Arabidopsis thaliana: one gene and its partner. The protein of the gene in region 1 interacts with the protein of each later gene in a pairwise test. Each region holds a gene or a part of one and is shown in the gene's direction. Other genes may lie near its edges.

The links.
Region 2: the proteins of AT1G01260 (region 1) and TIFY7 interact in binary tests that used the Arabidopsis thaliana proteins (3 or more experiments, as listed by UniProt).

What each region holds. Positions count from the first base shown.
Region 1 is NC_003070.9:104,990-111,927, forward strand, and holds AT1G01260 (basic helix-loop-helix (bHLH) DNA-binding superfamily protein), read left to right. Parts: upstream 1-3,956; 5' UTR 3,957-4,341; exon of another isoform or gene 4,342-4,416; 5' UTR 4,417-4,605; coding exon 4,606-6,378; 3' UTR 6,379-6,710; downstream 6,711-6,938. Other genes in the region: AT1G01250 (Integrase-type DNA-binding superfamily protein), read right to left, coding at 1-320.
Region 2 is NC_003070.9:26,651,279-26,658,094, forward strand, and holds TIFY7 (TIFY domain/Divergent CCT motif family protein), read left to right. Parts: upstream 1-3,489; 5' UTR 3,490-3,672; coding exon 3,673-3,763; intron 3,764-3,971; coding exon 3,972-4,054; intron 4,055-4,548; coding exon 4,549-4,703; intron 4,704-4,791; coding exon 4,792-4,876; intron 4,877-4,959; coding exon 4,960-5,200; intron 5,201-5,295; coding exon 5,296-5,471; coding exon of another isoform or gene 5,472-5,526; 3' UTR 5,527-5,786; downstream 5,787-6,816. Other genes in the region: HWI1 (Receptor-like protein kinase-related family protein), read left to right, coding at 821-1,568, 1,868-1,999, 2,084-2,103. UniProt on the Arabidopsis thaliana protein: Repressor of jasmonate responses. Jasmonoyl-isoleucine (JA-Ile) specifically promotes COI1-TIFY7/JAZ9 interaction. Interacts with and suppresses RHD6 and RSL1 transcription factor activities to negatively regulate jasmonate-stimulated root hair development.

The sequences.
Region 1 (6,938 bases):
AGATCCTCGATTTCTTCAGGGAAATTCAGCTGAGCTTTTCTACCTTTTAGACAAAACGCTGCCACGTCGTAGGCCTTAGCAGCCATCTCCGGCACCGGAAAAGATCCGAGCCAAATCCGAGACTTTTTCCGGGGCTCTCTGATCTCAGAAACCCATTTTCCCCATCGGCGTTTGCGAACTCCGTGGTACACTGGATGCCTCGTGGTCGATGAGCTGGTTTCTTTACCTCCTCCGCCGCAAGATTTAACGGCAGAAGCGGTGGCGGTTGGTTCGTTGTTGGTAACTGGTGGTGATGATAGCTTCATTCTCTGTGGTGACATTAAAGAGTTTGTTATGTGGTTAAGTCACACTGTTATCTACATTTATAATCTCATCCAATCCCATTTTCTAACCAAAAGCGTTACTGTTTATTATCTGAATTTACATAAATGCCCCCAACGTACATTTAAATCATAGACTTTCGATTACCGGAATGTAATTTTCCAAATCTACTGCCAAATGGATAGTAGTACGTAGTGTGCGTAATTCTATTTCATATGCCGTAACTAATAATAATGATATACTCTTTATACAAAAAAATAATATACAGAAATCAGTGGGAAGGATTTTCCCTATTTTATATCTGTAGTTTGTCCATGGGTTGTAAATTTCTTACAATAAACAGCTGAATCAAATTAAATCAGTGATAGTTTTAGTACCAAAAAGATGATTTATTAAAATAAAAATTGCGCGATCTTGCATAAAAACAAAATTGAAGAACATGGGGGCTACTGATACCGCCGATGATTAATTAACTTTATATGTCAAATTAAACCAAAAAGTATATATGTCAAATCTTTGTCTCCCCAGCAATCGGGAGTGGTGGTGGGGAAATGCTTTCAATAGCTCATGTACTGGTGACGTTGTGTCCTATAGTTTTAGCACTTCTTTCAACGAATTGGTAAAAATAAGTGTCGATGGCAAGAAAGAGACTAAATAAATCTTATGTCTGAAAAGATTATGAAACTAAAGTCTAAAAGGGTATTAAAAATATATTATGTAGTATGTAATGTTAATAGCTTAGTACAGTAGTACTAGTACACCTACTCACATCTTGACATATCGTAGTGAACTTGTGTATACACGTTGCATATTAAGATTAACACTCAAGTATTTTACTCCAAAATTTGAGTACAAGCTTCAGCCAAAGTTAAAATAAGTATCTGACAGTGGAAAATTATAAGTGTGCTTACAATAATTTATTATTATAATGAAATCACTTTGTTAGGTGTAATTTTGTGTGCATGCATGCCATGATCGTGAAAATATATCTACAAAGAAACCCTTTTCCTTTCCTAATTATTAACTTATTAATTTATTTTCTTTTATATATATGATATACTTGGGCAATGCAGGTCCACATAGGTTGCTTTTAAAAATTAGCATTGATTATTTTTTGAAGGGACCATAGTCTAAACTCTAGTCTATACCACTCATAAATCTGTACTACTCAAAAAAAATGTCTTTCATGATTTTGCATTTTGCTACTATAATTACCATTACAAAAGAATATAAACTTTTCCCATGATGTAGTACGATTATTACAAGAAGAAAAAAATGACAACTAGCTAAAGTTATCATTCTTAAGGAAAGAAAAATTTAAGGTATCACAAGAAAATTCACGTCTTCGTACGGTGATTTGTAATCCCTTAAGCAAAAGGGCAGTTGATAAATATCACCTGAAGTCTATGGTTTCCACATTTTAACCCATCACGTCACTACATATTAACAAGGAACCATTGAAATTTACTTCAAGTAATTAATACTAATATCGCAATCAATTTTTTTATTGAAAAAATTGGGGAAATAGATAGCAAGAGGAGTTACGAAACTCACTTTCTTCTTACATCAGATGAGACCATACACGGCTTTACTATCAGTTTTGTCTCCGGGTGCTTTCGTGTAAACAATTTTAACACTTGTTCGTTTTTAAAACAGTAAGTAACTGAAAATATATATGTATATGTGTGTGACGTATATATGTATATATATATTTCTTTTTTTATTGAGCTTCGAGATTTGTTTTTTTGTTCATACGATGAGCTTTAAGTTTTGGTCGGTTCTTTTTTCCTTTTCGTGAGTTGTTGGTAGATTAAAGTAGTCATCTTATGATTTGTGTTTTTTTTGGTTGTTACCAAAAAGGTGACGATTTTGTTGACGTTAAACACGGAATTCATTGTAACATGAATATATCAACTATAAACGCCAAAATGGGATTTTCTTTTTTTTATAAGGTAACAAAATTAAGGAAAAACTATTGTTACAACTTCAACTTGCAAGTATGTTTCTGAAGCTAGAGTTTACAGTCACGTGTGAAAATCAAACCAATTTGGATCATTATTGAAGATAAATGAATACTTGATATATTGTTAGTACAAATTTAAACAAAGCGATAGGTTTAGTGGCATTCAGAATAAGTTCACCAAGAACCGGCACTACTTTATCCGGGATTAAATCAACTCTTACAATAGAGTTAACTGGACTAATAGGCCGATTTGTTGTGGTAAAACAAAACCAATGAAATATATGATAAGATTGAGATTTAAGAATTCAAGACTGAGTCCGTTGAACAGCCCATTCTAATTCTGATTGCTAGATAAGGGATAGATGGGGGGCATTATTAAGGTTTGGGAAAAAGGCTGATATCACGTTTGACCTAGCACATATGTGGCCCAACATTACAAGAATTCCATAGAAAACCAGTATTGTAATATCGGCCCATATTATATTCTTGACGACTTGGAGATATTGTAAGTCGACGTCGTTGTTTGACTTAGATGGGAATGGGACCCAAACGTCTCGAATAAAGGATAGTTTAAACACGTGAATCACGCGGTCCCCACTTTTTGCTGTGTGTTTCTCACCGCCATACATATATTATACCCACTCGTGACTTCATTTTCCATAATTACTATATATACTAATTTTTTGTTTTAACTTTATCGTTTGTTAAAGATTTTTCCAAAATAATATAGTCATTGTATATTCATTTTCGCAGAGCCGTAGTTTATATTTTGATGATAATTTTATGACTTAAAGAGTGAAAGCTATAAATATATTACAATTCAATTGTGGTTGCGAGAGAATAAACAAAAAGAGAAAGAGAAAAAAAAAACGTTACAGAAGAGAAAGTGCAGAGCTGTGCAGGCGCATTTGAAAATGAAATTAAAAAGAAAAAGAGATCCAAAGAAAATTAAATGCATCTCACGTTCTTCTCATTCTGGTCATCTCTCCTAAATCCACGTGAACTTCACGTGCTTTTCACGCCCTCCTCTCTATCGACTTGGCGTTTCCTTTCTTCTAAAGGAGTTGAATTGTTTTGTCAACATTTATCAAGTTATTTAGTAATTTGTTTTTTTGTTTTGTTTTTAAAAAAATTATTTACTCCCGTTGTAGAACCACCATCAATAATATTACCAAAAATAATAATCAAGGATCTAAACTAAAATAAGCCTTTTATTTTGTATAATTCTGAAAGCATTTGAAACTTAAGGAACAACTCTTTAGTCTTTGCAACAAAACAAAACACAACAAAAACCGAATATTTAAGCCTAACTTGAATGTGAATTGATTTGGTCAAAATTCCCGGTGCTTGACCACCGGTCTTAGTTGGCATACTTTGCAATTATGTAAACAAAAATTTTAAAAATTGAAAGCAAACTTCTAAATTTGGGTTTGGTTTCCCCTTTAGTTATTTCCATGAACATGAGAATCTAATCTCGAGTTGTCAGATAGTATTTGTTTAGATCTACACCAGTTGAGATAGATCTGTTGCAAATTTTTAATTAATCAAAACCCATAATTGAAAATTATGTCAATCAATTATTGACAAAAACCATGACATAATCTAAGGGGTTTTCAATCGTCGTGTATCAAAGACTCGAGACAAAGACTAAATCGAACCAGACCCGGTTTAAGTTTCTAAACTCAATTGTGTAGTTAAGTAGCTAACCATGGTTCAGATGAAAGTCTTTTTGTTTTGTTTTTTGTTTTGTTTGTTGGGGTTTGGTCTTTTAATAAAAAAGAGCACGAAGAACATGCGTCGGACTCTCTCTCTTCCTTGAATTCATTCAATTGGCCACGGCGACAAAACAGGGAGCCGATACAGCGAAACTGATACATCTTTTTTTATTTTCTGGATTCTTAGGGTTCTTTTTCGGGGAATTTAGGTAATTTGTTTGTCCATTTTGGTGGGGTTTGGGAGATTTAAAATTTGTGTTTTTTTTTGGGTCGGATTCTCAAAAATCTGATTTTGAGGAGAAAATCTCGGTGGAAGAGACTTGATTCAAATCTTCTTTACTGGTAAAAATATATTCTTCTCAATTCCTCATTTTCTGTTGGTGGAGTTTGATTTTTGTCATTTAATTGTTGTTAAAGAAAATAGGGGCAAGATCTGAGATCTCTGGGTGTTCCATGCAAAACTGTTATACTCCGCCGTATATTTGCATCTGGGTCACACTTCTAAACCCTATCATTTGACTTAAGAATCGATTTCTGAAGATCTGGGTTTCTTAAAAGTCTTTCCTTTTTGTTGGGATCCAAACAACAAAAGAAAAGAAAGCAGAGATGAATATTGGTCGCCTAGTGTGGAACGAGGACGATAAAGCGATTGTTGCGTCATTACTGGGCAAACGAGCTCTCGATTACTTGCTTTCCAACTCTGTTTCCAATGCTAATCTCTTGATGACTCTAGGAAGCGACGAGAATCTGCAGAACAAGCTCTCGGATCTCGTCGAGAGACCCAACGCTTCTAATTTCTCTTGGAACTACGCCATTTTCTGGCAGATTTCCAGGTCAAAGGCCGGAGATTTGGTTCTCTGTTGGGGCGATGGATATTGCAGAGAGCCTAAAGAAGGAGAGAAATCAGAGATCGTTAGGATTCTAAGTATGGGAAGAGAAGAAGAAACGCATCAGACTATGAGAAAGAGAGTATTGCAAAAGCTTCATGATTTGTTTGGTGGCTCAGAAGAAGAGAACTGTGCTTTAGGACTAGATAGAGTTACTGACACTGAGATGTTTCTTCTTTCTTCTATGTATTTCTCATTCCCTCGAGGTGAAGGTGGTCCAGGCAAGTGTTTTGCCTCTGCTAAACCTGTTTGGTTATCCGATGTCGTCAATTCGGGTTCTGATTATTGCGTTAGATCGTTTCTTGCTAAATCTGCTGGCATTCAGACTGTTGTTTTGGTTCCTACTGATCTTGGTGTTGTTGAGTTAGGCTCAACTTCATGTTTGCCTGAAAGTGAAGACTCAATCTTGTCTATAAGATCATTGTTTACCAGTAGTTTGCCTCCGGTTAGAGCTGTTGCTTTACCTGTTACTGTAGCTGAAAAGATTGATGATAACAGAACGAAGATATTCGGCAAGGATTTGCACAATTCAGGGTTTCTTCAACATCATCAGCATCACCAACAACAACAACAACAACCACCGCAACAGCAACAGCATAGACAGTTTAGAGAGAAACTCACGGTTAGAAAAATGGATGATAGAGCTCCCAAGAGATTAGATGCTTATCCGAATAATGGGAACAGGTTTATGTTTTCGAACCCAGGCACCAACAACAACACTCTTCTGAGTCCTACTTGGGTTCAACCTGAGAACTACACGAGGCCAATCAACGTGAAGGAAGTTCCAAGCACGGATGAGTTCAAGTTTTTACCTTTGCAGCAATCATCGCAGAGGCTGCTTCCTCCTGCTCAAATGCAGATAGATTTCTCTGCTGCGAGTTCAAGGGCTTCAGAGAATAATTCAGATGGAGAAGGAGGAGGGGAATGGGCAGATGCAGTGGGTGCTGATGAATCTGGTAACAACAGACCAAGAAAACGCGGAAGGAGACCTGCCAACGGAAGAGCGGAAGCTTTGAACCATGTAGAAGCAGAGAGGCAGAGGCGTGAGAAGCTTAACCAGAGGTTTTACGCTCTGAGATCCGTTGTTCCCAACATATCCAAGATGGACAAAGCGTCCTTGTTGGGAGACGCGGTTTCTTATATAAACGAGCTTCACGCGAAGCTAAAGGTCATGGAAGCAGAGAGAGAGAGGTTAGGGTATAGCTCAAATCCACCTATCAGCTTGGATTCAGATATAAATGTTCAAACCTCAGGTGAAGATGTCACAGTGAGGATAAACTGTCCGTTGGAGTCTCATCCGGCTTCCAGAATCTTCCATGCGTTTGAAGAGAGTAAAGTAGAAGTGATAAACTCGAACCTGGAAGTTTCTCAGGACACAGTGTTGCATACGTTTGTAGTCAAATCTGAAGAATTAACGAAAGAGAAGCTGATATCGGCCTTGTCTAGAGAGCAAACAAATTCAGTTCAGTCAAGAACATCATCAGGTAGATAGCCTTTTGAGAGACAGAAGAAGGTGGAAGTAAGTTTGTAATCAAGAACCGGTTTTGAATGGTTCTTTTTTTCTTCTAGGTATCTTTTGTTTTTACCTTTTTTTGGTTATATACCTGTAAGAATCCTCCAAACTAGGATTTTAGAAGTTTTATTGACAAAAGTAGACATTATCATTTACTCGTTTTACAGTGGACAAAGCTGGGAATTAAGTAATTAACGATAATGTTGTATCTGTTAAAGTCGTAGACTAGCTCATGAATCAGTCTTTATTCATTCTGATATGTCCTATGTGTTGGATTTGGTGAAGTGTTTAATCGACAAGTCAGATAAGTGTTATGGATTGGTCACGGAATTGCTCAAGAACAACAAAACACAGCTGATTCATTGCTTGTGAACAAGAGGAAACACTATGATGTTCGTGCACACCATTTTTAGTGTTCAAACTAACATAAACCGTTATCGCCTGGGGAAAACAAAAGTTTTAAGAAGAGAAACAGGTGGAAAATGTAACAAAAATAAAAATAGGTTCCACCGAGACTTGAACTCGGGTTACTAGATTCA
Region 2 (6,816 bases), about 27 Mb from region 1:
CTCTATACGCTATACTACATGTAATATATTAATGACCATAACTCGTTTTCATGACGTATACGTCGTCATTGCTCGGTATTATTCGTATTGCTTTTTTTTTCTGATGATATAGAAAAACAAAAAAAAAGACCTACTATTGTCAATTTTTATATACACACACATAATGCGAGAATTGCTTCGTCACTCCTATCATCTGATATAAGAAAAATAAACTAGTTGAATGCAAATTTTCATATCTTTTTGTGTTGATTATATATACATAATACATGAATAAAGAAGTTGGTTTTTTATTAATTTCGTGGTAAGTCCGCCGATTTGGCCTTTCTATACGCATTCAAACTTCACAATACTATAAGAAATTAACTCCTCAGTTTTATTGCCTTCTTGATAAGTGGCAACTGGCAAGTAAGGGTAATTAGTAGTAACGGTAGAGGCTAACGAATTCACACGAGTCACTGTCAAAATAAAAAATTGAATTCAAATGACATGAGTAAGGATAGATTAACAAAAAGAAAGTTGTAATGGATAGACGCACATTGCCAAATTCCACATTATAGCTTTAAAAAAAAAAGTCTGAACGAAGAAAGAGTTGCAATTATTTAGTAATTTCAATGATATGGAACTTGCAAATTGTGGAAATTCTTAAGAACGTCCCCAACCAAAAACCAAAAAAAAAAAAACCAAAAGCATGCAACATGGAACCACATATAAGAGTACCCTTCTTTACGTCAATTATCTTTAAAGCAAGTCTTCGCTCTTCAATTTATATTTTACCAAATCATCTTCTCTCTTTCTCTATCTCTCAAAACAAAAAGTAACCATGATCAAGACAAAGACGACGTCCCTTCTCTGTTTCCTTCTCACAGCCGTTATACTAATGAACCCATCTTCCTCCTCCCCCACTGACAATTACATATACGCCGTTTGTTCTCCGGCTAAATTCTCCCCTAGCTCCGGCTACGAGACAAATCTTAACTCCCTCCTCTCTTCCTTCGTCACCTCAACCGCCCAAACCCGCTACGCCAACTTCACAGTTCCCACCGGGAAACCGGAACCAACCGTTACCGTATACGGTATTTACCAGTGCCGCGGCGACCTAGACCCAACCGCCTGCTCGACGTGCGTATCAAGCGCCGTCGCACAGGTCGGAGCCTTATGTTCAAACTCGTACTCCGGGTTCTTGCAGATGGAAAATTGTCTGATCCGTTACGACAACAAATCGTTCCTTGGGGTTCAAGACAAAACGTTGATCCTCAACAAATGTGGACAGCCGATGGAATTCAACGACCAGGATGCGTTGACCAAAGCTAGTGACGTCATCGGTTCTTTAGGTACCGGAGATGGATCTTACAGGACAGGTGGCAACGGGAATGTTCAGGGTGTGGCTCAGTGCTCCGGTGATCTAAGTACATCACAGTGCCAAGATTGCTTGTCTGATGCAATCGGACGGCTCAAATCTGATTGTGGAATGGCTCAGGGAGGATATGTTTACTTGTCGAAATGTTACGCGCGTTTCAGTGTTGGTGGTAGTCACGCGCGTCAGACCCCAGGCCCAAACTTTGGTCATGGTCAGTCTTCCTCTAAACTTATTTTAACTAAACTAGATAAAAAAATAAAAAGTCGTAATCACTAAAAAAAAAACCTTTTTACGTAACCTCAGATGAAAATTTAAATATTAGACTGATCTTAACAATTAGTCTAATGGTTTATATATTTGTGTACGACGCTAAATTTTTAAACCCATAAAATTGATAGTGTTGACCATAAATAAAAATATGAACATTATACTTGATGGAGAAAACAAATTTATTAAAAACTTTAGAGGTGGATGGATAGTTTTAAAATTATATATATATATATTTGGCAGAAGGAGAGAAGGGCAATAAGGATGATAATGGAGTGGGAAAAACATTGGCGATAATAATAGGAATCGTCACCTTAATCATCTTGCTCGTTGTGTTTCTCGCTTTTGTTGGAAAGTGTTGTAGAAAATTACAAGGTATTTTTGATATTGATTTACGTTTTTTTTTCAGTTCTTTTATCGATCATAAAATCTAAATTACTATGTATATGCCTTTTGCAGATGAGAAATGGTGTAAATGAAAGGACAAAGTGGGAAAGATATCAATCAACAACTCGAGTCGAGCCACACTGTTAGTTGTATTTTTGTAATTTTTTTTGTTCTCCCTCATAAGATGTACGTAGTTATAGTATATTGATAATTTGATATAGTATTGATATGATTGTATCTCCGAATCGATTTTTGTATAATTGTCGGACTTATATAGGCCAAAGCGATATCTTCTTCTTTGATGTGAATGAAACCTTCGATTTCTTATCTTCTATAAATGCCATGTTTTTCGTCTATGCAAAAAATAACAGTAATTAAAAGGGTTTGAGCTTCTTTTATCAATACACAAACAAGTTAAAATAAATGAACGTGTCGAGAATAATGGAACATATTAAACCGTAAATCAGGATGGAGATCCAAAAAATGATAACTGTGTTCGTCCTATTGCGAATGTCTGAACGAATCTTTTCATCGTATTCATCATTATTTATTCTCATATTGTCTAAAGAACTCAATTGAAGACTTGGCCTAATGTCCTTTAATCATTAAAAATGATAATTTAAAATTGTAAGCTGACTACCAAATCGTTTTAGGACTTTGAAAGACCAACTAACGTCTAATTCTTTTCCATATTTTTTTTAATTTTCTGAAATTCTTAATGTACTACCGATGATTGCTTCATAACCAGGTTCTTCTTTTAATTTGTACATGAGTAACATGACTAATAAATGACTTGCGTCTGTTTGAAACATTATATGAATAAGAAAAATTGGTCTCAAATAACAACATGATGTATCAAAGATTCAAAAATTTCACGTGTTATGAAATGAGCTTAGCAAAAGTTCACTCAAGTTCTTGGAGGTCTAGTTTGGAATGCAATTTAGCCAAATCTGTACAGTTATACTGAACAGATTTAATGTAAGTCGGGCCGTAAACAAAATTATGGGCCTTAGATAAGCAAATCAAACTTCTTTCAGCCCATTGAGCATTCTCGTGATTTGGTTATTGTATATCCAATACGTGACATTACTTTTGCCTCAACGAAAGAGTCTTGGCTTATCATTTCATTTATTATTATAGTTGAAATAATTTTCAAAGAAAAGAAAAAAATATGTGATAAATACCAAACCGTTGCATAAGAAAAGCAACCACACATTTTACATGTGTGTGTGAGTTCACGAAGAAAATATCCAATAGCCAAACTAATTAATCCACCTTTGAAAAAAAACATGCACTATTATAAACTAGAGCCACCGACGGTCGACGGATGTCTAATTGTATATGGTCCTCAGAAATGAAAAAATCAAAAGAATAAACACGTGTGAATTAACCGGTTTAACCAGTAGCACCAACCGTTTGTACCGGTCAGAAAAAAGCCCCACATGCTTTAATCAAGCAAGCCTTTAAAAACAGGAAAGGCAAAGAGTTAAATAAGCCTCTCCAAAAGTGTGTCTGTAACATTACCAAAACGAAACCTTCCTTGTGGATTCCCACTTCTTTCTTCTGTTTTCTTCTTCCTCTTCTTTAAATTGGATGTTTTGGGCAAGAAACAGAGAGAAACACGTTAATTTGAGAGTTTGTCATTGAATATTTGGTTTGCAATGGAAAGAGATTTTCTGGGTTTGAGCGACAAGCAGTATCTAAGTAATAACGTTAAGCATGAGGTTAACGATGATGCTGTCGAAGAACGAGGTTTGTGTTCTTGTCTCGAGAATCTTTTATTTTAATGTTTCAAGAAGAGATCAGTTTTCACTTTTAACATAGCCGTATAAAGTTGTTTATTTAAATATAATTTTTCAGATTCCAAAACTTGAAAAAAAAAAGATTCCATTAAATCTTTTATAAAAATGAGATTGGATAGATTAGTCAAATTGACGACCATAAAAAATGATACTTATAGGGTTAAGTACGAAGGCAGCTAGAGAATGGGGGAAGTCAAAGGTTTTTGCTACTTCAAGTTTCATGCCTTCTTCAGATTTCCAGGTTGGTTCATCTTAAAATTTAACTTACTCTGTATCAGTTTCAGATGTTATGGCTAATCTAATGGTTCTATAAGCTACCGCATAATCATGGTCGTCTTTTAGCATGTGCAAGAGGAGTACTCAATTATGGTCTTGATTAAAAAGAAGAATTTACTTTCAAATTATGTTAAACACATCAATCACATATTTATGAGAAAAGTTGTTTTCGTAAGAGATAGCCACCGGAAAATGGTCGGATAAATGGCCGAACTTTATCATTTTTGTGTATGTGGCCAATCATTAACCAGGGAAAAAAAATTGTTGGATAAGTGCTAGTTAAGAGCTGGTAGGGTCGGTCGTCTGCCAGCCGCAAAGTTAGGGAAAAAATAATTTAATATTTTGTGGCGTTTGGTGTTTGGCGTTTGGATCACGTTTATTTCTTGGCATTTTTCTAAATTTAGAATGTACAAAAAATTTAAAGACGTTGACGATTAAAATTTGAATTTAACAAATTAGGAGGCTAAGGCGTTTCCGGGTGCATACCAGTGGGGATCAGTTTCTGCGGCCAATGTTTTCCGCAGATGCCAATTTGGTGGTGCGTTTCAAAACGCGACGCCGCTTTTACTAGGCGGTTCAGTTCCTTTACCAACTCATCCTTCTCTTGTTCCACGGTAATTTCCATATTATGATGCAAAAACATTCAACAATTTTTTTGCTCTTTTCATATTTTGATTTGGTTATGTGGGTTTGTGGAAACAGAGTGGCTTCCTCCGGATCATCTCCTCAGCTCACAATCTTTTATGGCGGAACTATAAGCGTCTTTAATGACATATCTCCCGATAAGGTATATATAATCAAGATTCATACAAATAACATTTACATAACATTTACATGTTCTAAAACGGACTATTCATGATATGTGAGTAGGCTCAAGCCATCATGTTATGCGCCGGGAACGGTTTGAAAGGTGAAACTGGAGATAGCAAACCGGTTCGAGAAGCTGAAAGAATGTATGGAAAACAAATCCATAACACTGCTGCTACCTCATCAAGCTCTGCCACTCACACTGATAATTTCTCAAGGTGTAGGGACACACCCGTTGCTGCGACTAATGCAATGAGCATGATCGAATCATTCAATGCAGCTCCTCGTAACATGATTCCTTCAGGTATGTGTGTCTAATATCAACATCAAAACAAAATATAATCAAGATTTTTGCTTCCTCAAATCATATGTCTAAACTCGAAAATTGCTTTTTTCCAGTCCCTCAAGCTCGGAAAGCATCCTTGGCTCGGTTCTTGGAGAAGCGCAAAGAGAGGTTTGATTTTGTATTTTTTTTCTTTATAGAAAATTTTGAGGTTTTTCAATTGAATCTAAAAGAATTGATGTTGTTGGTGCAGGCTTATGAGTGCAATGCCATACAAGAAGATGCTTCTTGATTTGTCGACCGGAGAATCCAGTGGAATGAATTACTCTTCTACTTCTCCTACATAAAACCTACACTTTTTTTTTTTTTTTTTACAATGGTAATTTGTAATTGTAATCATTAGATTATGATTATATAGTTACCATTTATATTCTTACGAGCAGGAGAAGACGTTAGGGCGTCTCTGTATTTGATCATTGTTTGTAATGCTTTGGTCTGTTTATTGTAGGATTACATTATAACTTTAAGAACTAACAGATATATGTTTGTCATGGACTCATGTCTGTCAAGAATTTAATATCAAATAAAATTCACTATAATTTTTTTTTTGCTAATTTCACAAACACACTTCATTAACTAATTATATGAACACTTAATTGATTTATACCAAAATCATATTGAATGCATCGCTAAAGAGAATAGTACTAGTTTTGTATCGCCAGCTTTCGTTGTTAACAAGTCCACTTTACTATTATTCTCTCGAGTTTTTTTTTGGTATCAATGTAAAGAAAATAAGAAGGTGAAAATTCTCTTGAGGTTGATGATTGTGTAAAATACCTAAGATGATATATTACAAAAAATGATATGTTTTCAAAGGAAAATATTCATGTTTTAAATAGCTTTTTATGAAAGTCACGAGTTCAAAATTTGATGTTAAGGAGAATAAATACTACTAGTTTATGTGCTACAGTAAACAAAAAAAAAATTGTGAACCAAAAGAGCTCACATGTTGATTACGAAAACAGAGAGATTCTCTTCACAAGCGGAAAGATCTTATAGATATTATTATTTAGAGGCAGATAAATAATTGTAGGAAAGTAATAATGGTGAAGGAGATGCACATAAGCAAAAGTTTGGTGAGGAGGACAAAAAAGAGAGCTTAACCTCTAAATTCATCACCAAAAACACGTTCATATATATGAGTGGATAAGAACGATCGTCGTGGTCTTATCATTTTGCGTATCCTCTCTCTCGTGTATATGTTGTATCATCATTTACTCACTTGTCCTTTCATGCCCCCACCAAGTTGTGCAATTTGAACTACCACTACACAATTCAAAAGTACATTGTTGGGGCTAAGTTTAGTCCTTTTGTGTTTAGATTGTTTCATGAATTGATGGATTTATGATTCCCAACACTCATTTTGTGTTATCTCCTTCACTCTCCATTTCAATTAGTACTCTCTTTTACTTTATAAAATTAAACAAAACTTGTACTCTGCTTCACATTTTAACTCCTTTGCTTCTCTCTATCACTCGATATATAGCAACAATAAAGTGATTTAAAATCAATTGTGACATCAACATTTCTGGTACAAACCTCTATACTACATGTTCATACAAATTTTAATTAATAAA